Linked DNA regions of Drosophila melanogaster. The gene in region 1 interacts genetically with each later gene. Each region holds a gene or a part of one and is shown in the gene's direction. Other genes may lie near its edges.

The links.
Region 2: of Syt4 (region 1) and Syx1A, changing one suppresses a phenotype caused by changing the other (phenotypic suppression), as found in Drosophila melanogaster (one study listed by BioGRID).
Region 3: of Syt4 (region 1) and para, changing one suppresses a phenotype caused by changing the other (phenotypic suppression), as found in Drosophila melanogaster (one study listed by BioGRID).
Region 4: of Syt4 (region 1) and cpx, changing one suppresses a phenotype caused by changing the other (phenotypic suppression), as found in Drosophila melanogaster (one study listed by BioGRID).

The regions. Positions count from the first base shown.
Region 1 is NT_033777.3:7,264,264-7,271,326, forward strand, and holds Syt4 (synaptotagmin 4), read left to right. Parts: upstream 1-1,801; 5' UTR 1,802-1,925; intron 1,926-2,532; 5' UTR 2,533-2,589; coding exon 2,590-2,632; intron 2,633-3,405; coding exon 3,406-4,592; intron 4,593-4,791; coding exon 4,792-4,866; intron 4,867-4,929; coding exon 4,930-5,049; 3' UTR 5,050-6,546; downstream 6,547-7,063.
Region 2 is NT_033777.3:24,101,070-24,107,505, reverse strand, and holds Syx1A (syntaxin 1A), read left to right. Parts: upstream 1-1,742; 5' UTR 1,743-3,062; coding exon 3,063-3,934; coding exon of another isoform or gene 3,935-3,938; exon of another isoform or gene 3,939-5,459; coding exon 5,460-5,478; coding exon of another isoform or gene 5,479-5,708; 3' UTR 5,709-5,906; downstream 5,907-6,436. Other genes in the region: CG10694 (uncharacterized protein), read right to left, coding at 1-57; eIF4EHP (eukaryotic translation initiation factor 4E homologous protein), read left to right, coding at 222-681, 5,460-5,708.
Region 3 is NC_004354.4:16,524,410-16,529,110, reverse strand, and holds the start of para (paralytic), read left to right. Parts: upstream 1-1,696; 5' UTR 1,697-1,834; intron 1,835-3,695; exon of another isoform or gene 3,696-3,889; coding exon of another isoform or gene 3,890-4,701. Other genes in the region: Cnx14D (calnexin 14D), read left to right, coding at 3,890-4,701. UniProt on the Drosophila melanogaster protein: Mediates the voltage-dependent sodium ion permeability of excitable membranes.
Region 4 is NT_033777.3:4,278,250-4,283,252, forward strand, and holds the start of cpx (complexin), read left to right. Parts: upstream 1-1,971; 5' UTR 1,972-2,107; intron 2,108-2,135; exon of another isoform or gene 2,136-2,573; intron 2,574-3,455; exon of another isoform or gene 3,456-3,754; intron 3,755-3,914; exon of another isoform or gene 3,915-4,233; intron 4,234-4,375; exon of another isoform or gene 4,376-4,424; 5' UTR 4,425-4,585; intron 4,586-5,003. UniProt on the Drosophila melanogaster protein: Positively regulates a late step in synaptic vesicle exocytosis.

The DNA.
Region 1 (7,063 bases):
GATACCTTATTTCCAGGCACACAAATGCGAACTCTTTTTTAATGGGTTCAGGTGTAAATGTGCGAGCATAGGAATTATTTGTTGATTTGTTCAAAAGAAATGTGTAAGTCCTGTGCGTTTTTAGCTCAAAGCTCCTTTGCAAAAGTTAACATTTTGTTGGGAATCACTTTTTTTATTTTGCTACCCTCTTCATGACTGTAATGTTTACTATAATGATTATATATTTTAGAGATTCCGTTGAAATTGTGTATATCAGCTCATTTCATTTAAAAGGAAAGGTGTTACTAATTTGTTGGGGATTTTGATATTTGTCATGACTAATCATTGATTATAAATATTTCTCCTCTGTTTATATTAATAGAAATATCGTTTGAAATAAGAAATAATACTGACTCAAACGTAATTTATGAAAAAAAAGTAGGCTTATTAGCCTGAATATGTCGGTTTCAAAGCTAGCACCAAACGGAAATTGGGATCGAAAGAAATGTGCTCAACATAAATAAGCGCAAGTAGTTTGTCTTTTACAATACGACTCATTCCGTCAAAATGAGGTGGTGGCTAATAAGCGGTGGAATCGGGTGAGAAACCGGGCTAATTTCCTAATACTGCAATGGACGTTTAATGAACTGGCTGGTATCGTAAAACACCTAAATGTGGGCACTTTTTCATTCGAATAATACCCTGGGTAATTGAGCACAAAATCGAACAGATTAGTGGTCAAATGGCAGACAATGGGTGACCGTTTTTGATATGTGTGGAAAAAGAAATATAAACCAGTAACTAAATTAGAAACGTGTCTAGAGCAGAAATCGTGAGGCATACTGTGCTCTGTGCCAGAAAAACAAACGAATCGAATTGGAGCTATTGCAAACAAAGTGCAGTAAATTTATCGCCGTGAGCCATCAGAAGACCGAACAAAATTCCGTTTCTTGGGCTTATGACAATGGCAAATTTCCAGCAGACTTCGGGCCAAAAAGCTGTCCAAATCTTTTGAGATTCCTCAATGCCAGAAACGGACATCGCGAATTTTTGGATTTTGGGGTTGTGCAAAAACCGAAAAGGCAGCAAATAATAGAAATAAAGACGATTGCATCAACTTACGATCGTAGAGTCCGGTGATGTGGTGTCTAGTTTCCTTTTATGCTTTAAATATTGAATTAATTGTTTATTCCTTATAGAAAATGCCTCGGGAAAATTTTTCAATGGCCCGAAGACGACAAAAACGTGTGTGCTATCTGCTGTCAGCAAGTTTTTCTGAGCCGCTTTTTTTTATCACACAAAAACACTGGCAGCGCTGCAAAATCGTTTTTAAGCCCTGACTTCTAGGGTTTTTGTCAGTTACCCGTATTGATCACTGCACTTGGATGGGCTTTCTGTTGGTCTCTTTCTCAACTTGTTCGAACTGCGCGCAGACGCAGACCGTTACCGACTCAGCTTCTGACCAGCAGGCGCCAGTCTTTTTAAACTGACGAAAAGCTCGAACTCAACGAAAGACAGCTTAAAGCTGGCCGCAAAGCTGCGCTCTCTGAAACTTGGTCTGAACCGGGAGCTTTTGAGTGTTTGCAATGAGTAGGTCTAAATTGGTCTAAATTTTACCTTTTTATAACTTTTTATGTATTTTATTACTCAACCCTTTACTCATGAATATGGTCTAGTGTTGTAAAACTTTCTTTAAGCACCCCTGACTTCGGCTAAGACGTCACAGGTTTCTTCAACCACCGCTTTCGGCTAAACAACCCACACAAAAAGCTGCTTGCTCGTGCGCCTGCGCGAGTTTAACGATTTCCCAGCCAAGTTAAGAAGCCACTGGCAAAATAAAGTCGAACGGCTGCAGAACTGCGTTGTTGATTTTTTTTCCACAATTTGTGGATGTGAAAAATATTACAATTTTTGGATATTAATTGTGCAGGACCAGATACAAAAAAGTAAGGCTATAATACATTCAAGCAAGTAAAATGTAGGCGTAAACAGGATTACGAGGAAAACGTAAAAACTATCAAGTGGCTACTATGGCTTTTCCGAGAATCTCTGATGCTGCAATAAACAATAGATACAGATACTGGAAGTGATAGTAAAAGGGAATATTTTCAAAACGTTACGAAGACCTAAATGAAAGAAAGGAACATTTCTAAATGTGGGACTTCCCATTAAAAATGGTTTCCAGAAGTTGAAAAACCTGCAAACTTCGTGTGCGTGTGTGCAAGGGCTGCGATGATTCATGCGACCCTAGAAGAGCACCCAAGTGGCTCATATGTGTGTGTGTGTGTGTGTGTCTCTCCCGCTCTCTTGCCAGAAAGTGTGCCTGAGTGGGTGTCCTCAAGTAATGCAAATAACAACAAAAGCCAAACGTCAGCATAACCTGAGCAGAAAGCAGGCAGCTGCTGCTCACGAAAAAGCCTCTAGCATACATTTGTGCGCAAAATCGAAGCACGCAATTCTTCACGTGCCACCGAAAGTTGCAAACATCCAAAGACAGCCAGCAAAACTTTTCCTCCTCACTTTTAAACCGTGACTAATTGTTATTCCACACAGCCGCCAGGAACATCGAGTGGAAACGTGCTGAGAGCGGCTAAGCCAAATCCATTTAAAATGGCCGAAGAGTATATCCCAGATGCCAGCGTCATGGACACGAGTAAGTACCATACCATATTGCAGCATCCAATGCGACCTTAGTGGTCGATCAGTCCAATTTGCTCATTAGCAACTTGTTCAAAATGTTGCACACAAGTTGTGCCAAACTTTTTCGGTGGCTATGAATAATTAATTCGGGTCTTTGTGCCTGGATTGTCAGGTTTCGAAGGGGATACGTGCACATGTGTTATTTGTTGTGCTCTTTTATTTGGGGTGAAATGTATAAGCTCAAAACGAATTGGCGAAAGTTAATGTTCTAATAACAAAGGAAGTCTACAAACAACTCACAGCTGTGTTAGGGAGAAAAGTTCTTTCTATTTTTTCATTTCGGTGACTAATTACAGAACATATTCAAAAGTGTGATTAAACGTTTTCTTTTGTGTTTTCGGATATTAGTAAAAGATAGAAAATAAAACGCTTTTTGTTATTATTGGATATTTAAATTTAATATTCGGTATTAGATTTATAATGATAAAATGTTCTATATAATTTTCTATTATGTTTTAAATTCTTTTAATTATCCCATTATATAATTTTGAGATTGCATATTGAGCGTCTATATATGTAATCTGGAATGGGGTGCTAGTGCTAGTTAACAGTGGGTTTTTCAAAACTTCCAACACAATACGAGTAAATTTTACTTTTGTTTATGGCTTTAAGGTTACACTAGTGACATTGTCCCATCACCACCTTGCACATATTTCAATCGAAGACAACGTTTTGGGTACAACTAAACTATGCATATGTTGCCTAACATACCTGTTGTCCTTTCAGTTGTCCCCGCCATCCTGGGACTGACTGCGGCTGCTGTCCTCTCGTCAGTGGCCTGCATCTGCGCCCGGCAGATGCGCCTCCGGAACAAGAAACAGAGCCAGCACGACGCCTCGTTCCCCTTCCAGCCGACCCGGCGACCGACCGCCGTTCGATCGCCCAGCGGCCAGCCGCCGCACTACTTGAAGAAGTCGCCCTCGCCGACGGGAGGCAAGCAGATGGGACTGCTGTCGCCGATGCAGGACCAGTCCACCTCCCCGATTGCGCAACCGAATGTCAAGTACAGCGAGGAGGGAGATGGACCCGCCCAGCATGCGGAGCAGCAGAATGGCAATCAACTGACCGTGGTGGATGGTAATGGGTTGAAGCACTCGCTGCACAACAGCCTTCACCACTCGCCGGTAGAGACGATCGCCAACGGAAGTGTGACCATTACCCTGGACGACCATTCGCTGACCAACGGGAAGGAGCTGACCGTGACCGACCAGTACGGCAAGCTGGGTACCATCTATTTTAAGCTGCGCTACTTGGCCGAAAGGAACGCCCTTATGGTGTCCATCATCCGTTGTCGCGGACTCCCCTGCAAGGGAGGATCGAGCGGAACCGGAGATATTCCCACTGGCATGAATGGACGCACTCAGGCGGCAACGGATCCGTATGTCAAGCTGCAGCTGCTGCCGGACAAGCAGCACAAGGTCAAGACCCGGGTGGTGCGAAATACCCGGAACCCGGTTTACGACGAGGACTTCACCTTCTACGGCCTGAACATGAACGACCTGCAGAACATGTCGCTGCACTTTGTCATCCTCAGCTTCGATCGATACTCACGTGACGACGTCATTGGCGAAGTGGTGTGCCCATTGACCTCCATCGAGATCGGGGACATCTCCAAAGAGGCTTTGTCCATCAGCAAAGAGATCCAGCCACGGAGCTTGAAGATTCGAGCCCAGGGTCGCGGGGAGCTGCTCATCTCCCTCTGCTGGCAACCAGCTGCCGGTCGCCTCACCGTCGTCTTGCTGAAGGCCCGAAACTTACCGCGCATGGATGTCACCGGACTGGCCGATCCGTATGTTAAGATATATCTCCTCTACAATGGCCAACGCATCGCCAAGAAGAAGACGCACGTGAAGAAACGAACTCTGAGCCCCGTTTTCAACGAGAGCTTCGCATTCGATATTCCCGCCGCCGAAGTGAGTAATAGTATATTCATTTACTATTTGTTTGTAGTTTAACGAAACACCATATCAATTACCTAGCATAGATTAATTGTTAATTGTTTTCTTGTGTTCGTATAATTATCATAGAACTTAAACATGGACGGACTATTTTTGAAAAGCTTTTATAATAATTTTAAAGAATCATAAGTTAACGTGCATATCTCAATTACAGGGCGCTGGCGCCAGTCTTGAGGGTGTGTCTTTGGAACTGATGCTGCTCGACTGGGATCGCGTGACCAAGAATGAGGTAAGTCGCATGGGATGACCTAATGCCAATAGCTGGATAATTGCACGCTCGATATTTCCACAGGTCATCGGTCGGCTGGAGCTGGGCGGCCCGAACTCGAGCAGCACCGCCTTGAACCACTGGAACGAGGTTTGCAACTCGCCGCGCCGCCAGATCGCCGAGTGGCACAAGCTGAACGAGTAGGGGAGGGGCAGGAACCTCCTGGGCGCAGGCGCCCCTTAATGAGGGGGAAGGGAGCAGGAGCAGGCAACCGAAATGGGAGTCATGTGACCTCGTTGCCACCATGAATTTCTCTTTGGTTTTTGGCATATGATTGCATATTGATTGAGTTTATTTTCTACTTTCTACTTTATATTTCACTTGATTTCTGGGAGATCACTTGCTTTGAGTTTGAAGCAAGATTAATGCGAGATAATTGGCCGTTAACGCCACAAGCAGAAAAGAAATATTTACCAAGCAACCACTAACTAAATTAAATGTATTAGAAAATGTTTAGGACCCTAAAAGTGCATGTAAGTGTAAGATAATTCAGAAACATCTCAATATAGACATGTTTAAATATGAGAATAAGCAAGGCAGGGGAATTCTCAATATATTTTAAACTGACACCGACTTTGTTGCTATATATTCATGTATGATTTTCATATCAAATAGTTGAAGTTATATTTAATGTGCCCACCACTGAAGTTGATTTCCTCAAAAGATATATTATTAACCATACATCTGTATAAAATATTTATGATATCTAACGTTTAAGCATACATATGTCTGTACAATTTAATTTTAATTATTTGAATATTTTAGTTTGATTGTAAAGACCTAAAGTATACCATCGCTTTAATGGATACAAGACATCAAATTTGCACACCCCGGAAGCTCTTAAAGTTTTGTCCAGAACGAAGCAAAGATAGATGCTTACTGCTTAACACTTTATACGTACTCTTAAAAATAAAAACAAATAACTAAAACTAATGAAACAAATAAAACTAAACCAAATTGAATCTAGAGAGAACACGCAGCAGAATGCTTAGCACCAAGAAGCTACAAAACCACACACAAATCGATCGAAAAAGTCAGAAAACATTGATTCGGAGAGGAAACCAACACAATACAATAATGTAAGCAGCATAGTACATGTAGGAATCAATTACCAATAACATACTCTAGAGTATAACCACTCACGAATAGCTCAAACCGAACGCAATAAGCACTACAGGTGTATCTAGCGGCACTACCTTTAAAGGCAACGGATGGAGGAGACCCCGATGAAAGCATAGCTTAACGAAGACACCGAATCATTATCCACTACTGATATTAAGTGTACTGAATACAATTATAAACTATACCAGATCTATATAGACATCAGCCCGCTTCTACGTATATTTTGTAAACTGAGTGTTAGAGCATTAAACTTCATTGAATAACTACGTGCATACAACCATAAGGATATATACAAGCATACATAGCGATTCGCGAGAATCGCAGATACAACTTCAATTCGTGTCCAATCAAAACTTCAATTCGTCTAATGGAAAAACAATAATTACCAATACATATGCAAAGAGTTTGTGCAGAGGAACCCAAATTATATGAGATGTGTATAATTCTACATTATATGTAATTGTAATTGTAAGCTACATCAAATGGTTAATTTCAGTAATAAAAGGTATTATATAAAACAATGTGCACTGCGAATTATTTGCATTAATACGTGTCTTATCAGCTCTCTTAATTCTGTGAGTATACTATAGTTAACAGAGTTTAAAGCACTGATAAGAGGAGATTCTTGCTTATACAAAAGAGTACAGACTAACAGATACCTATTATATCATTGGATTGCACATTTCTGCTTTCCTTACTATTAGATGGGTCGCTTGCCTTGAAGTCTAATACTAAAAACAATAATTGGCAATTGTTTGCCAGATGAAAGTTCCGATCGGCCAGATCAAAGGTTCGAATTATGCTATAGCAAGGTCTGCGATGAGGAGGGTTTTTATGGTGGGTGTTTAAATGGAACTCTAAATTGCGATAGAAAGATCGACTGTTGGGATGGAAGCGATGAAAATAAGTTCGAGTGCTTGCATGATGCAAATCTAAAGAATGAGTACGAAGACCTCAAAGGGAACTGTATGTAAGTTGTATTTGCTATGAAACTCAATTGGTTGAGTTTGAGTATGTTCACGTTAGATGCTGTCCT
Region 2 (6,436 bases), about 17 Mb from region 1:
TTCGTTCATCTCCAAAGTGATGGTGCGTTGGTCCAGCATGCGTATAGACAGCTTCATCGTTTTTGTTTTGTTAAACTTAATTTGGCTGCGAGAATTTGTGATAGTTATGTGAAAGTGCGGCGGTTGTGTCATTTGGTGAACCAAATGTCAAATTTGATCTACATACAGCCTTTGACATACTAATCAAAATCTATTTTGTGTGTCATGTACTCGCGTTACAGGAAAAACTGGCCAGATATTGTCGACAGCGACGACAGCGATGTGGATAATCAGATAGATGTGGACAACCTGCCACCACTGGAGGTGGGTCCCGGCGAGAACCGGCTGCAGCACACATACTGCCTCTGGTTCTCTCGCAAGGAGACGCAGCGCGCGGCCGCCGACTACAGCAAGTCGCTGCACATGGTCGGCCGGTGCGCCAGCGTGCAGCAGTGGTGGTCGCTCTACTCGCACCTCATCCGGCCCACCGCCCTGAAGCCCTACCGGGAGCTCCTCCTCTTCAAGCAGGGCATCATACCGATGTGGGAGGACCCGGCGAACAGCAAGGGCGGCCAGTGGTTGATACGACTACGCAAGAACAAGGTCGACCGGGCCTGGGAGAACGTTTGTATGGCGATGCTCGGGGAGCAGTTCCTCGTCGGCGACGAGATATGCGGAGTCGTGCTACAGACGAAATATCCGGTGAGTTCCAAAGATCCTATATAATGTCTTATTTGGGGAAACCATGCCAGAATACCTTTCTTAAAAATCGGTATTTTTAGAACCCATAAATATAGCAAACAATAGTAAATATCCTTTACAGGTATATTCTAAACAGATGGCTTAAACTATTTACTTTTCTTACTCGATTAAATCAAATTCGTTAGAAAATTTAATTGTAATAATTTCCTTCCAAGTTTCTATGTGAATTAGCATGTAATTTTCGTAACTTTAAATTTCTAATTGAACGAAGTGAATTTTTAAATATTGCTCCAATAGGACCAGTGTTGGGCAACGTTTCGTAACAGTTCACTACCCTTGGTGTTACTTAATTTTTATATTTATTTATAAATGCCGAGCATATATATTATTGCATTTTGCGGCCTATTCCCCAGTTCCTTTTCAGCTCGCGATTCGCTTTAACAAAAGTGCCGGTCGCGATTCATTCATGAAAATTCTCGCGCATGACGTATCTCAGTGCGAATGGGATCCACAAACAAACCCGTGCTGATTGTTGTTGCTGTTGTGTGGGACTGACGTAATGGAACTTATGTGGCGGCATTTTTAGCACATTTCAATACGCGTTTTGCAAAAGTGAAAAGACGAAAATGCCGGGCAAAAGGGAAAACAGAAACCACTTGCAGTTTGTTTTTTTTTTAACAATCAAACGTATAAGGCTTGCACAATAAAGTCTTGATTACATCAGCAAAATATTATCTTTTCCACGCTTAGCTTTTAAAATGAAGATGAGCAGATATCAATTAAATTATATAAAGAGAAATATCCTGTTCTATAAATAATATAAAATACCAAAATTTATAATATACCAGGAAGAGATTGCAGGAGCTCCAGCTCTTTCTCTTAAGATCCACATCCAAATACATCCACATAATCACTTGATTCGCGAATCATCGAAATTGTGAGAATTGGTTGGTGTCCCCGCTTAGTCCTGTTTTTAGTCTGGTATTTTTAGCTACTCAATGTAGTTATTTAATAGGAAATCATTGCGAACCGGAAGGTATATTCTGGTAGTGACGGCACGGTCACACTCGAAAATTGTTTGCCCGCGCGAGGTGCTGTGTTTCGTTTCGGCTCGCATCGAAATCACACAAAAAAAAACTCTTGGCCGCCGGGAAAATCGCGAAACAATATTTGGTTTTTTGTGAAAAAAATCAAAAAAATATTGTCAACACATTTGCCTCAGATAAATACAAAGAAATGTGCATGTGAAACGATTGGTGACAACAACAAATCGTGGAACCCAGACAACCAGTGTGCGAGAGCGTGATAGGTGGTCGTGCGTCCCTCTCAAACACACACCCTGAATCGGCGCCGACGACGCGTACGCAACAAACGAAAATAAAACGCAAGCGAAAAGGAGAGAGAAAGAACAAATAACGCCCACCGTAACACCCCCCGCGAATAAGAAGAAGCAAAGTAGATAAAGCAGAGAAAGACGAAGAAGCAGCAGCAAAAGCAGACGGCAGAATTGGAGCTTTGCGCAGAAATCGATTTTTTGCCCATTTTAAGAGATTTTCGGTAGCCTCTCCCACTGCCGAAAATCGTTTATTGCCACTGCTGCGTGCGTGTTTGTGTATGTGTGTGCGTGTGCCAGTGCGAAAGTGAAACAAACAAATTCGCCGAGTAAAAGATTAATATTATATGGTACCAGTGTGAGTCACAAATAACAAGAGAGAAAAAAACAGAAAAAAGAAAAATTAATTCAGCAGCAGCTTTAGCTTTTTAGCTGCTGGCATTGAAGAGGTGCTCTGCCGCAGTCGACGTCTCTGCCGCCGCCCGCAACACGAGCTCTCTTTGCCTCTCTCTCCGTCTCTCTTGTGAGCGAAATAACACCACACCAAACGACACACACACGAAAAAAGCATAATAATATTAACCAAAACGCCAGCCAAAGTGCCAGTTAAGTTATAATTATACACTAAAAGTAAACCGAGCAAAGAGAGAGCTGCCAGCCAAAAGCGGAAAATCAATAAAAGGTCTCTCGCAAAAGTGGAAAAACGTGCAAACAAGTTAAAAGCAAGGCTGCAAAAAAAGAAAAAGGAAAAACTCCGCGCGCGTTTACACGTGTGGTTTATGTGTGTGTGCGTGTTTAACGTTTAACTGCTAATCGCAAAAACGCAATCTGCGAAGACCGCGTAACAAAGGCTTACGTAAAGCTTGGCCAAGGGAAAGAGCCAAATAACAACGAAGCATAAAAAACAATATTTAAAAAAATCCAACAAATTTTGAAAACTGCACCGTAAACAAGGATAGTCCCAGAAATTCGAAACTCCCCAATTATCAAATCGAGAATAATCTTCTCGCACACCCTTCAAAAACCAGGATAATACCCCGACACAAAGATGACTAAAGACAGATTAGCCGCTCTCCATGCCGCCCAATCCGATGACGAGGAGGAGACGGAGGTGGCCGTCAATGTGGATGGCCATGATTCCTACATGGACGACTTCTTCGCCCAGGTGGAGGAGATCCGCGGGATGATCGACAAGGTGCAGGATAACGTCGAGGAGGTAAAGAAGAAGCACTCGGCCATCCTGTCCGCCCCACAAACGGACGAGAAGACCAAGCAAGAGCTGGAGGATCTGATGGCCGACATCAAGAAGAATGCCAATCGCGTTCGCGGCAAGCTCAAGGGCATCGAGCAGAACATCGAGCAGGAAGAGCAGCAGAATAAGTCGTCGGCGGATCTGAGAATTCGGAAGACGCAGCACTCGACGTTGTCACGGAAATTCGTCGAAGTGATGACCGAGTACAATCGCACGCAGACCGACTACCGAGAGCGCTGCAAGGGAAGGATACAGCGTCAACTGGAGATTACCGGACGACCGACCAACGACGATGAGCTGGAGAAGATGCTGGAGGAGGGCAACTCGTCTGTGTTCACGCAGGGCATCATCATGGAGACGCAGCAGGCCAAACAGACGCTGGCGGACATTGAGGCCCGCCACCAGGACATCATGAAGCTGGAGACATCGATCAAGGAGCTGCACGACATGTTCATGGACATGGCCATGCTGGTGGAGTCGCAGGGCGAGATGATCGATCGCATTGAGTACCATGTGGAGCACGCTATGGACTATGTGCAGACGGCAACTCAGGACACCAAGAAGGCGCTCAAGTACCAGAGTAAAGCCCGACGAAAGAAGATCATGATACTGATCTGCCTCACTGTGCTGGGCATCTTAGCGGCCTCATATGTTAGCAGTTATTTCATGTAAATCTCGAATGCAATTACTTACACGCCACATTCACTCCACACACACACCTCTCCACACACACACACATTATATATCTCATCCAGACCCGATCTATATACATAGGATGTTGCGCAACCCACCCAGAGAAATTGCAGAAGACAAAATCGAAACTTAAACTGTAAGAGACCGCAACCAGTGAACCCCCGATACAAAAAAAAAAAAGAAATGCACACGAAATTAGGGCTCGATTACACCAATTATAGCTATTATAATATATAGAGAAATCATGTATGGTTAGTAAGCAAGAGTCTCAAGTCCCCAGAGTCTATCCCAAAAACACATGAAACTCAAGTTATAGCTACCAGAATCTTTAGTACTTGTAAACAAATTGCTAATTGAAAATTTATAAAACCAATACGAAGAGAGTTGAAACACAAAAACTACAAGACACGTAATTGCAAACAAAGAAAACATGAAATTTTATTGATTATTGTTATAATGCGAAGCAAAAAAAAAAAACGAGAATTGTAATAAAAAGAAAGGAACAACACTACTCCACTCAAAACACACACAAAACACACTCATTGCAAATGCTTTGCAGGGAAAAGTGAAAGAAAATCTTGTTGATTTCCTCGTCGTTTTTCCGACTTTGAAAATGCATTTAGTTTTTGTTCGTTTAGCTAGTTTAGTTCTCCTGTTGAAAACTCACACAAAAGTAGCCTCATCACTCACACACTCACAACACCGATGAAGAAGAGAAAGATGCAACAAATCTCTAGTTCACTTTTGAATATTTATGATAAAAAGATTGTTTATTATGCGATATAATAACTATATTGACTATTTACTATAATGCTATTTACTTAACATGTTCATATTTATTGAATGCATATGAAATATATAAATTATACAAACACAGCGCATATATATATATACAAATATAAACCTAGATAAATAGCTAACTCGGACATTCTCAATGGAGATGATAATGCGAAACGAAAACATGAGAAGTTGAGGAAGTTGATGATGGAATGCCGATTTTAAAGGGGTAAACAATTCAATCACACTCACATATATAGACAGCTTCAAATTAATCGGCAAACAGTTAAATTTAAAGTTGATTATTCAGTTTTTTTCTTTGTTTTGTTGCGCAAACAATTGAACAAGTTTTTGCGTTTGTTGTTTAATCTACCGGAAAAACTAGTTTCCTTTTGTTGATTTCCGTTTTTTGTAATCGCCAGAAAAGTTAACAGAAATTAATGGATTTCGGTTTCAGCTATGATTTCATTTCTCACACTCACACCGCACCGCACACACACAGTTTGTAATACTTTTTCTTTCTAATTAACCTAATTTATTTTTCCTTTCTTTCCTCCCACCGATCCACATCTGAAAAACTAACAATCGGAATGCAAATTCAAAACTATACTACTCATACATAACATCTGGCATGCGGCTGTAAAATCCAATTTAACAAATAAAATCAAACCAATCAACTCAACTTTTTCTGCACTCACAATGAAAAACGAACAAATCATATAGAATCCAAGCATCCAAGTAGCATGCTCATCAAGGCCTATAATCTGCATTATCTACACACGTTTTGTAGTACAATTCGGAAAATGCAAAATCATTATAGTTACTAATAACAATAAACGCAATGTGTATGAGTTTTTGACAATTATTGTGATTAAGATACACGAAGAAATGCTTTCGCTTCTAAGTAGGAAATGCAAATTTGTTAATGCACCAAACGAACTGGTCACGCGAATTGGTCGATTTCTGTTTTGATCACACGAAATTACCAACTGCAAATGTCAGACCTGCATTACATGCACGTTTATTTCTTATTCAATTCGTTAATTCACCTTTTGATCTTTTGAACGAGCAACGAATAAATGGGAAAATGAAAACCCAAAACTGCAACTACAACAGCAATAGCGCAAATCAGCACGTTTTCACCACAAAAACAAGAGCAACAACAACTGCAAAAAAAAAAAAAAAACACCCAAGTTAACCGAACGCGTTCAGTGAAAAGAAAATCAAAAGAAATATTACTACTTCGTATTATGTCAATCAATCAAACTGCGATTTAATTTTAACCACATAAAAATGCAATCTAAAGGCCCGACAAATTCGAAAAATGATTAAAAATAAACGAAAAACGCGACTCCGCCCTGCCACGCCCTTACGTTCATTGGAAGTTCCAGTCCGGGTTCCAGTGTTCCAGCGCTCCTGACCCGCAGCTTCCAGCGCGAAAAACAGCTGCATTGCTCCATTCCCACACGCTGAGGTGAGTAATACGCTATAATTATTCAACATTTAGCATTCTTTTTATCGGCAATTCCCGCAATTACTCTCTCTACGTTTACGTTTTCCCTCGCGGCGACCATTGAAAAATCGCCGAAGGTCGCGTTTCCATGTCCTTTAAAGTCCCCATCGCCACCCTCCGCCCCTTTTTGAAACACCCACCCGCCCCCTTGAAGTTCCGCCCATTTTCTATTAATGAATTCGTGCCC
Region 3 (4,701 bases), on another chromosome or scaffold:
AACTGGTGCCAAACGCCCAAAAATAATGACCCACTGTTGCAATTTTCGGGCAGAGCAGAGCCGTGGAATATCAGCTTGATGACCTAAAAATAGAACAAGTGACCAAAGACAAATAAAAAAATGAGAGTCGGCGATGGCGAATAGTATGTGGCAAATGGCGGAGAATAGCGAAGGGCGAAAGGATAAGCAGCGAAAAACAGGGTGGCAAAGTAGCACAACAAAACCTGTGTTGACAACGACTTGGGTGGTTATATATGGCAAATGCTTTAGGGCGAAAAGGACTTCTCACACACACACAAACACACACACGCGCGAACTGCTTCTGCTCCTTTTCGCGGCAAATTCGGATAAAAGGAAGTCACGGCGAAACGGCGGACAACTGCCTGGTTCGCCCGAAAACGGAGTTACCCAGAGAGGAGGAACTTTTTCAGTGCTCAGTGCTCGACTTTTTTCCGCATCCTTGTGTCCTTTTTCAATACTGCTCTGCGTTTCACGTGCGCGCGAAAATTGCATAAACACAAACAAGCCGCGACTCGCTGCCTCGACATTTTTTTTTACAGTGCATCCAATCCAGTGAGACATTATCCTGCCAATTGAGTGCTCATTTTACGTTTTTTTTTTCGTGTGTCTAAGTGAAAGCCATCAAGTGTGTGAATACAATTTACAAGCCCATTTTAAATATCTATTGAAGAAATATAACAAGTTTAGTAGAAGGAATCAAATAAACTAACGACATAATTCACATAATTGGCACAAGGACAGCAGAAAATCTAACATATAAAAAGAAATAAATATTAAAAAAAATAATTTCAAGCCATTCAAACAATACTAGGGGGTGCTTTTAGTGGGCCATACAAATTATTCGAAATTTTTTCTTCCGATAATATTTTTTTCAATTTTTTTTACATTTCTGTCACCTTTTGTGAATGAGTTTTCCCATCAAATTTTCCAATTTAAGCTGGGTTTCAACAACTTGTTCGCTTTTCCGCAGGCGACGCTGACGAAATTGAAACTAAAACCGAAATAAAATCTGCAAATAATAATAATAATACTATTAGTCATAATACGGAAAACCAATTATAATCATAGCAACAGTTGAGAAACCAAGCCGAGGCAAACTCATTTAAATATCCCAGCCAGGTAGCCAGATACTAGTAGAAATAATACAACAAATAATATTAACATTAACTATAAATAATAAATTGAAACAGCTCTGGGAACAAAACGCAACGTTTGATGAAAATTTCTGGCAACACGTCTTGGTTGTTGTTAAGCACGCAAAAAAATTAAATAAAAAAACCAATTCAAATACCCAATGATAATGCAGATTTAACAAACAAAACCAAAACAAATAAAAGCAAACAAAAATACAAATATAAAAAAAAAACCAAACAAAAAAACCAAAAAACAAAACAAACAACAAATTCATCTTCTACTTGTTCTACCGCTTCAACTTTATTCGTCTTCGTCTCCGTAATATATATATATATATAAAATATACATATATATATATTTATATATATATATATCTATGTATATGTATGCATATGTGTGTGAGTGCGTCGCGTGTGTGTTGGTGCCTGTAAATGTGTGAGCCACAACAACAACAACTACAACAACAGCAGCAGCAGCCAGAGCCACAACCACAACAACAACAACAGTAGTTAACAGCAGCAACAATTCTTAGCAGCAGCAGCAACAACAACAATACAAGCAAGCACGCTCACAACAAAAGCAGCAACAGCAACAACAACCACAATAGCAACTACAGCAACAACAACATCAGCGGATAGAGCGAGCAGCCAGGCACAACATCGATAGACATCGATTAACGGTAGGTAATCGAAGGCAATCGAAAAAATCCATTTAATATGTATTTTATTATCACATTCATTGCACTTTTAATTATGCTAATGATATTTAACCCTAAACAGAGGAAAAAAAATCGTGAAATTTTTTATTTGTTGAGTTTCAACTATTTCCGATACCTTGAATGATTTATTCTTAAGACTAAACGATCTTTCGAGTCTAAAAGAACCACTTTTATGATGAATTCTTACAATTAACACATAGTGGAAATGTATTGAAAATAATTATGTTATCTATGTTAGAGCAAACAGGCTAACAATGTGTTATATTAGAAATTCTCAGCTCTTACTTAACTTACTTCTCAGCTCAAAACAAAGTCATTAATTTACTTTTCATTTTGGTCAAAGAGAACTACATTTTACTGGGTCAATGGTTCAACTTTCATTGAAAGTTTTTAAGAAACCCACATTTGGTATTCCCATCGATTGCAATTTTAATATAGAATACCAAAAAGGGCAATTTACGCTGCACGTCAAATGAGAATTTAGAAAGCAATTGTGTCTTTCGTATGTATTTCAATATTTGAATAGCTAGAAAAGTGTGAACGGAGCAGTGGGCGACTTGATGAACTTGGCTCGATTATGTCATGCCTCCTTGGTGAAAATCCCAGTTAACCAGGCCCGACCTCAAGACCATATCAATGGGGTATCTGCGCCCCTTTTTGTCCCGCCCACTGGCACGCCCCTTTGCTTTTGGGCTACAACCTTTTGCTGGCTTTTGGAGGGCAAACTTTCAGCTGCCACAAAAAAAAAAAAAGAACAGAGCAGAGCAGAGCAGAAAAAAATGAATGATGAAGGTTGAGGGGGGGGGGTGTTTCTAACGGAATTCCTTTGCTCACGCACACATTGAAAGGAGGTTCGTTAAGAGAGAAGGGAACCCAAAAATGTATTGTTGTAGTCCGTGTTTGTTGGCGGCATCACACAGAGAAGTGAGAGCGCAAGAGAGAGGGCACTGGCTCTCTCGGCGCAGGCAGGAGGAGAGTGAGAGTCCTCGCTCTCTCGCCAGCCCATTGCGCTCTCCCATGCAAAATTCATTGACTAACAACATGCTAACTTCGTTCAGTTTTTTGCTGTTTCTGTTTGTTTTTTTTTTTAGTTTTTTAGTCCTTTCCTTGCCATCGAATTTTGTTCAACAATTAATAGGGTAGCAGATATTCTGTGTTATATTGCCAAATCGATACCTTGGGTTGGCTAAGGAAAACGTTTTGCGTTTCGCTCATGTGTTTGTCATGTGTCATTTGCATATTGACACAAATTCCGGCTCGGGTTGTTTTTTATTTCAATTCTTGTTTGCGGTTTTTCGCATGACTCATCGACCCAGCGAATGGCCAAAAATTAATTCGGCAAACAGAATTTTGCGAGTGTCATGAATGGAAACAGACACACATAAATATATGCTCATATTGGCACATCCACTGCCACTCTGTGTGTGTGTGAGAACGCTACCCTATGCTTCATGCCTCCGTGTGTGTGTGAGTGTGGCGAAATATCGAACTGACCTACTTTTATGCTCGATACACACACACACACACACACGCACACACACTGGCGCGCTCACACATACACACACGCAGCCAGATTGGCAAATGGAAAAAGAGTGCTTTGACCTTAGCGGAGGCTGCTTATGTAAGCCCAATATCCGAAGACCGCAGGAACATCCGTAACCGAATCTAGATTCAATTCTCACATTTTCTGTAGTAGCGGTAGAAGGTAGTGTTAGACCGTTTCAAATAAATGAAGTGCTTATAATATTATCTACATTTTAAAAATCATAATCGTATTACCTATTACTAAGCTATCTATGTAAGTCAAATCCAAAATTTATACAAACAAGCAAGCGGCGTCAATAAAGTCATACGCATTAAGGCTCAGTTCAGTCAAGTCAACCACTTTTCACAAAAAATCGTTAAAAATCGTTAATTTCTTCGAACGTCGCTATATTAAAAAAACGCAAGGCTCAATTCAGTCAATCCTTATCTATTCCAACTCTGAGTAAGCGAGCAAGCGAAAAGTGTGTGAAAATGGCTTGGAAAATGCTCTTCGCCATTTTGTTGCTGCTGAGTGCGGCCAAAACCGGCTATTTGGCCCCGGAGTCGGAAAACTCTGTGGAGGATGTGCAGATAGAGCCCGGCGCCATCTATGGCGATGAGAAGTTTGCCTACAAGAGTCCGGTGATCGATGCCGAAAAGTTTTACTTTGCGGATCACTTCGACGACGTGGAGGCATCCCGAAAGAGATGGGTACTGTCGCAGGCCAAGAAGAACGACATCGCCGATGAGATAGCCAAATACGATGGCATCTGGAACTGGGAGTCTCCGCAACGCATCTTTTGGGCAAACGATCTGGGTCTGGTGCTCAAGTCGAAGGCCAAGCATGCGGCCATAGCCGCCCCCTTTCGCCAGCCGTTCGATTTCAAGTCGAACAAGCCGCTGGTGGTGCAGTACGAGCTTACGTTGCAGGAGGGTCAGGACTGTGGCGGCTCGTATCTGAAGCTTTTGTCCGCCGGAAAAGGCACGGAGCAACTAAATCGCTTCAATGACAAGACACCCTATACCATCATGTTTGGTCCGGACAAGTGCGGCAACAATTTGAAAATGCACTTTATATTCCGGCACGTCAATCCATTAAATGGCAACATCACCGAAAAGCACTGCAAAAAGCCAAATGCCCGTTTGGGAGTGCCATTCACGGACAAGCTACCCCATCTCTACCAGCTGGTGGTCCGTCCCGATAACAGCTTTGAGATTCGCTTAGACCACAAGATCATCAAAGAGGGTTCCCTGCTGACCGACTTTGTGCCACCAGTCAACCCACCGGCGGAGATAGATGACCC
Region 4 (5,003 bases), 3.0 Mb from region 1:
GTCCTTGTAACAAAAGAAACTATTCCGCCTTGCAGAGGCGTGTGTGCCAACCTAACGACCCTTTGAGATACGTTTTCTTGTCGGCAATGATTCCGGAATTTCCGGAATTCCGGACAGTTATCTACCCTGCACAATGAGCAACTCATCGACCGCCATGGAGGCATGGGCGCCGGGCCACAGAGATAGGAGTATCTCGATTTCAGTCGAGTCTCGGCTGACATATCAAACACAAAGACTGGCACAAGCACATGCGGAAAATTATCATTTGTCAAAATCACAACATGAAACCGTTTTAAATTTAGCCACTCTGCAGCTAGACGCTAAAGCCGCCGCATCCCTCAGCTTAAGCCCGCACGCCGTCCTGCGGCAGCCGCCTTGTGCTTTTGCAGGCCCGAAATGACAATGTCTGTGGCTGAAGCTGAAACTGGGAAAATTTGAGTTGTCATCTTTGCGAATTCTCATTGATTGAAAACGACCGTACCAACCATCAAGGCGGCAGTTCTGGCTGCTTTGGACGGCGGGTTTTCAATATCATTATTTGTGACGGGGGACTTATAACTTCAATTTACAAATGCCAATTGAAAATACCTAGAAGAAAAGCAATTGTAAATTTCGCGGCGGCGGGGACACGGCCTCAGCAATACCGTTAGTGTGGGCGTGGCAAAAAAATGTTTAGGATGCCGATAGAAATTAGAAAGACATTATAAAATCAAAAAATCTCTACCCAACATTAAAAAGTGCGGGTATGGCAGTTTGGGCGGATTTTGTGCATTAGAGCCGGCGTGGTAAAAAGTATTTCGGCAAATCGATTGCAAAAAAGACTACAACAAAATTAAAAAAATATGAAAACATTTCCAAAAGTTGTGGGCATGGCAGTTTTGGGTGGATGGTGAGCGTTAGATTGGGCGTGACCACATTTAGAATGAATGGAATTTTCATGTCCAATCTCAACTCTTTAACTTTAATAGTTCCTGACTTTGCTGATCACAAATATTTATACTTTACGCTTCCCTTTACCTGTTGCATACTTTTCAACGAAGATAGTACACCATTTAACGAGTATAACAAGTTGTTAAATCATCCGCACTTATTAATTGTGAGCATATTTGTATAATTCCTATAATGGTATAGACATACTGTTGTAATTAATAAACAACAGTCGAAGAACTCTACTACTAATCTACTAATGATACTTTTAATCACCTAAACGTATCAGTCTATGAAAAAAGAAGCCATATAAATTATCGCGGCTGAACTAAATGCTGCTAAAAATGTCCAGGCGAACGGGTCTCCTGGCTGTCATTACCTCTTAAAAAAGCTGGAGCAGTGAGCAAAATGTGGCCAATTTTCCTCACGTCGTCTGATGATACGGGAGGCGAATGTGCGAAATACGCCTGAAAAAAATAATCATAACTGGGCAAATAGGCGATGAAGCAATCCCACTTTCCCATTATGACGTGTATGCTCTAATTAAATAATTTATATAAATTGCCACCGTTACTCCCACGCAAAAACCCGCAGGAATTTCCTGTTCCGCCGCACTCGAGCTTATCCTGCAGGAGCAGGCCCTGGTCGGAATCCCGGCGTATCGACAACCAATTCGGGCATTAGCTGCTATCAATACGCTTCTTCCGGCGGGTGTGTTAAAAAGCAAGGCCCACAAAGGATGTGGTGCTCACATGTTCAGAAATTAGCGGAGGATAATCTGTCACCGGTTCCGCTTCCGAGCAATCCCTGCCCGTACATGGTGCACTTTATTTATCGCAACGCCAGACTACGAGGCTTATGTAAGCGTGCCAGTCAATACTGATGAGGAATGGGAAAGGGGACTCCTTGTCTAGCAGGGCGTGCAAGAACGCCGTCTCCGGCAGAAGGGAAAGTCGTTATTAACCAACAATTCGGCTAAAAGCTTTCGGCCAGCAAGCTTTCGTTTTGTTTGGGGCCAACTGTCAAAACTGACAGCAGTGCTCTCTGCGTTGGGGACTCTCTTCGCGTTTCGGCGGCTGTTGTTACCACAAGAGCTGCTGGCTACCAGTATAACGTTTTCGGCAGTTAATGTAGTTTCGGTCACCAGCAGCAGCACCACCGCCCCAGAGCGAACTTTTCGGTTTGTATACGGGTCCGTGACGAGTGGCAATCAGTGCGATATTGCAGAGTGTAGCGTGCATTGGTGTGGGGAAAGTACCCAAGCCCTGTGGTTCTCCGTGACCGACTGTTTAGGTAGACCCCACGGTCCGCGGTCCGCCCTCCTTCCGCGCAAGTCCCCCACGCCAGCGGTCTAATGGCCAGTGGACTATGTCCCCAGCCTTTAATGCCCTAGTGGCCAGGTCGTGACTATCATACTAAACAATGAGCTTCGCTTTGTCGAGCCATAAGTAATAAGCAATTTGTGGAGGAAAAATTATCTCACGCTGTGCAGCAAGGACTTGCTGGAGTGAACTTCAGTTGTATACGGGCGAGGAAGGCAGCTAACCTCCCATTCAGTGCCAATCCACCAAGCTGTCTGCCAAAACGCTATGAAATTATAATTGATTGAGCGGAAAACAATGACGCCATCTTAGTCGGCCATATTGGTATGAACACTGTCGGATCTGTGTCGCACTAATTAGAAGTCTGGAGTATTCTCCTGCGCCCTTGGCAACCTTGATAGGAGCTCTTGTCACGACATAGACTTTGACCCGACCACTGTCCGATGGCGGACAGATGAGCGGATGTGGCCAGATCTTTGCAATTTCCTCCTTTAAAGCTATGTGCTTCCGGTCCCGTCTTCCTGCTGCCTGGTCAGCACAGTCCGCCCAGCATGTACACACGAATGTGTGCAAACAAACGAGAGTGGCACTGACAAGCCAACAAAGGCCGTTCCAGTGGGTTGAGGGCGCAGCCGAGGGATGCGGTGCAGTTCGGCTGGTTCTCGCTCCGAGTGGTGATAATGGCTCGTAGTCACAGCGAGCGTCTTATCAGTACGGCATAGCCTGATGCTAAATGTTACAGGAACACTAACACGACCGCCACGAATCGATATCGCGTATACGCTATTCGGCGCAGGCGCCATCTCCCAAATGTAGGCAGCGCTTTTGCTGCTGATTTCAAAGTCAAAAAGTCAAGAAATTGAGACCGAGAAAGAGAGCGAAGGAGGAAGAGAGTGAGAGCGAAAGACATTGAGAGGGATAGAGATAGAGGGGAATCGAATTATGTAACAGACAAAAAATAGCAGTCAGATAAATATATTAGAGAGACAGAGAGATAGAGAAAGGGGGCAGGGTAGGGTTCTTTCAGTCCTGGCGGTCCTGCAATCTTGCCGTCAAACGAGTCCCACCCCCACCATTGTTGCCCTTATCTATGTGAGTGCCTGTGGTGCTCGTTTTCTCTCGGCAAGCCGAGCGGGAAAGCACTCAAACCCGAGCCCGAGAATTTTCGGACGGCGCTAAAGCTCGGTCCCTCGAAGCCCGCTATTCACTGGATTTCGGGGCCGCAGCGGCGCGGTCGGCTCCGACGCCACTGCCTCCGCCAACGCTTTGTAAGGCGCTCGCATGCGGAACAGCGGCAACGAGCCACGTTTACCGAGTTTTTCGTGTAGGGTACTCTGGCAGTGGCGTGCAGAAGAGTGCGAACATAGCATGAAGTAAGAAGCGCCGAGAAAACATAGCGACGGTCTAGTGAAAAGTGGCAAGCAAAGCAAAAGTATTAAGCACACACACACTGCCAGTGCGCACGGACACACACAGCACACTCCCGCACCAACACACTAGAGCAAGTGCGTGTACATAGAGGGTTTGTGTGGGGCACATATGTGCCCGCACGATGTCGATACTGGCTCACATTGGTAGTATTTAAAAAGCGACGAACGGCCCGAGCTCGAAAGCACGACTGAAAACCTAAATTGATTAAGCGAATTTGTTCTATCAAGCTAATTCAATTGCTCGGCCAGTTGACTGAGTGATCCACTGCAAGCGCAGCCTTATGTAATCGGAATCAGTGAAAAAAGCGAAACACGGCGGCCGCCAAAGGAATACGACTCCAGGACCCGAGTCAAATCGAATTTGTTTGCTGCGCGTATTACGTAAAGTAAAAATCTTGTTTGCTTGTGGCACCCGCCTCCTCGAACCCCTCCCCACTCAAAAAGGCACTTACGTGCACGCTCCCATAAAAGAAACCCTAATAAAGAAATATCGATAAAAGCAACGAAGCAAGTGGCACGCCAGCACAATAACGACGACGACAAGCGAAACATCGGTAACAATGCGACCCCTGGGGGTGTTGGTGTGTGTGTCTGCTATTTTTAAATTAGCGCCAGTCCTCTAGGTTCGGCTCGACCCCGCCGAACCCTGAAACCCGTAACCCGGGAGCCATATAACCCTGGAAGCCCAGAACTCTGCACTGTGAACAACTAAACGACGCCTTCTGTGTCTCTGTTTGTCTTTCAGGAAGCCTATCTGCCTAATGCACGCTCTTCACAGTGGATTTCCTTAGAACAAACACATTTCGCGCAGACTAGTCGGAACTTTGCTCCTCATCAACCAAGTCCACGCACTCACAGGAATCTTCAAGCAAAATCTGAAAGGAATACTTGCTGAACTAAGGCCAGGTATGTGGGTGGTCCATCAACCTAAAAAGTGTCGAAAGTATGCCCCAAGTATGCTCCAAACTTGCTCGCACTTTATTTCAAATATTTGTGCAAAGTGTTCGTCCGCATCCTGCACATTTTACGCGTAGATTGCTCGAAGGCAGCAAAAAGTTCCAAGCTCATTACGCAATCGTTCGAGTCCTCAAAATAATGCGAAGACTATCCAAAGACGAAACGATCGCAGTGCTCCATAGCTGCTTCGCCTGAGGCGTATACATGATATACTTGAGGTATACTTACCCTTTTATGGCCAAGGCCAAATGCTTAGGAGCGTGGGTGCAGCGTTGGGTCGGAGTCACACACAGCTTATTTGCGTATTTATTGGCTTTGGTTTTCTGACTGGATCCCGTATTAGAAAACTTTAAATGTAACTGGATAG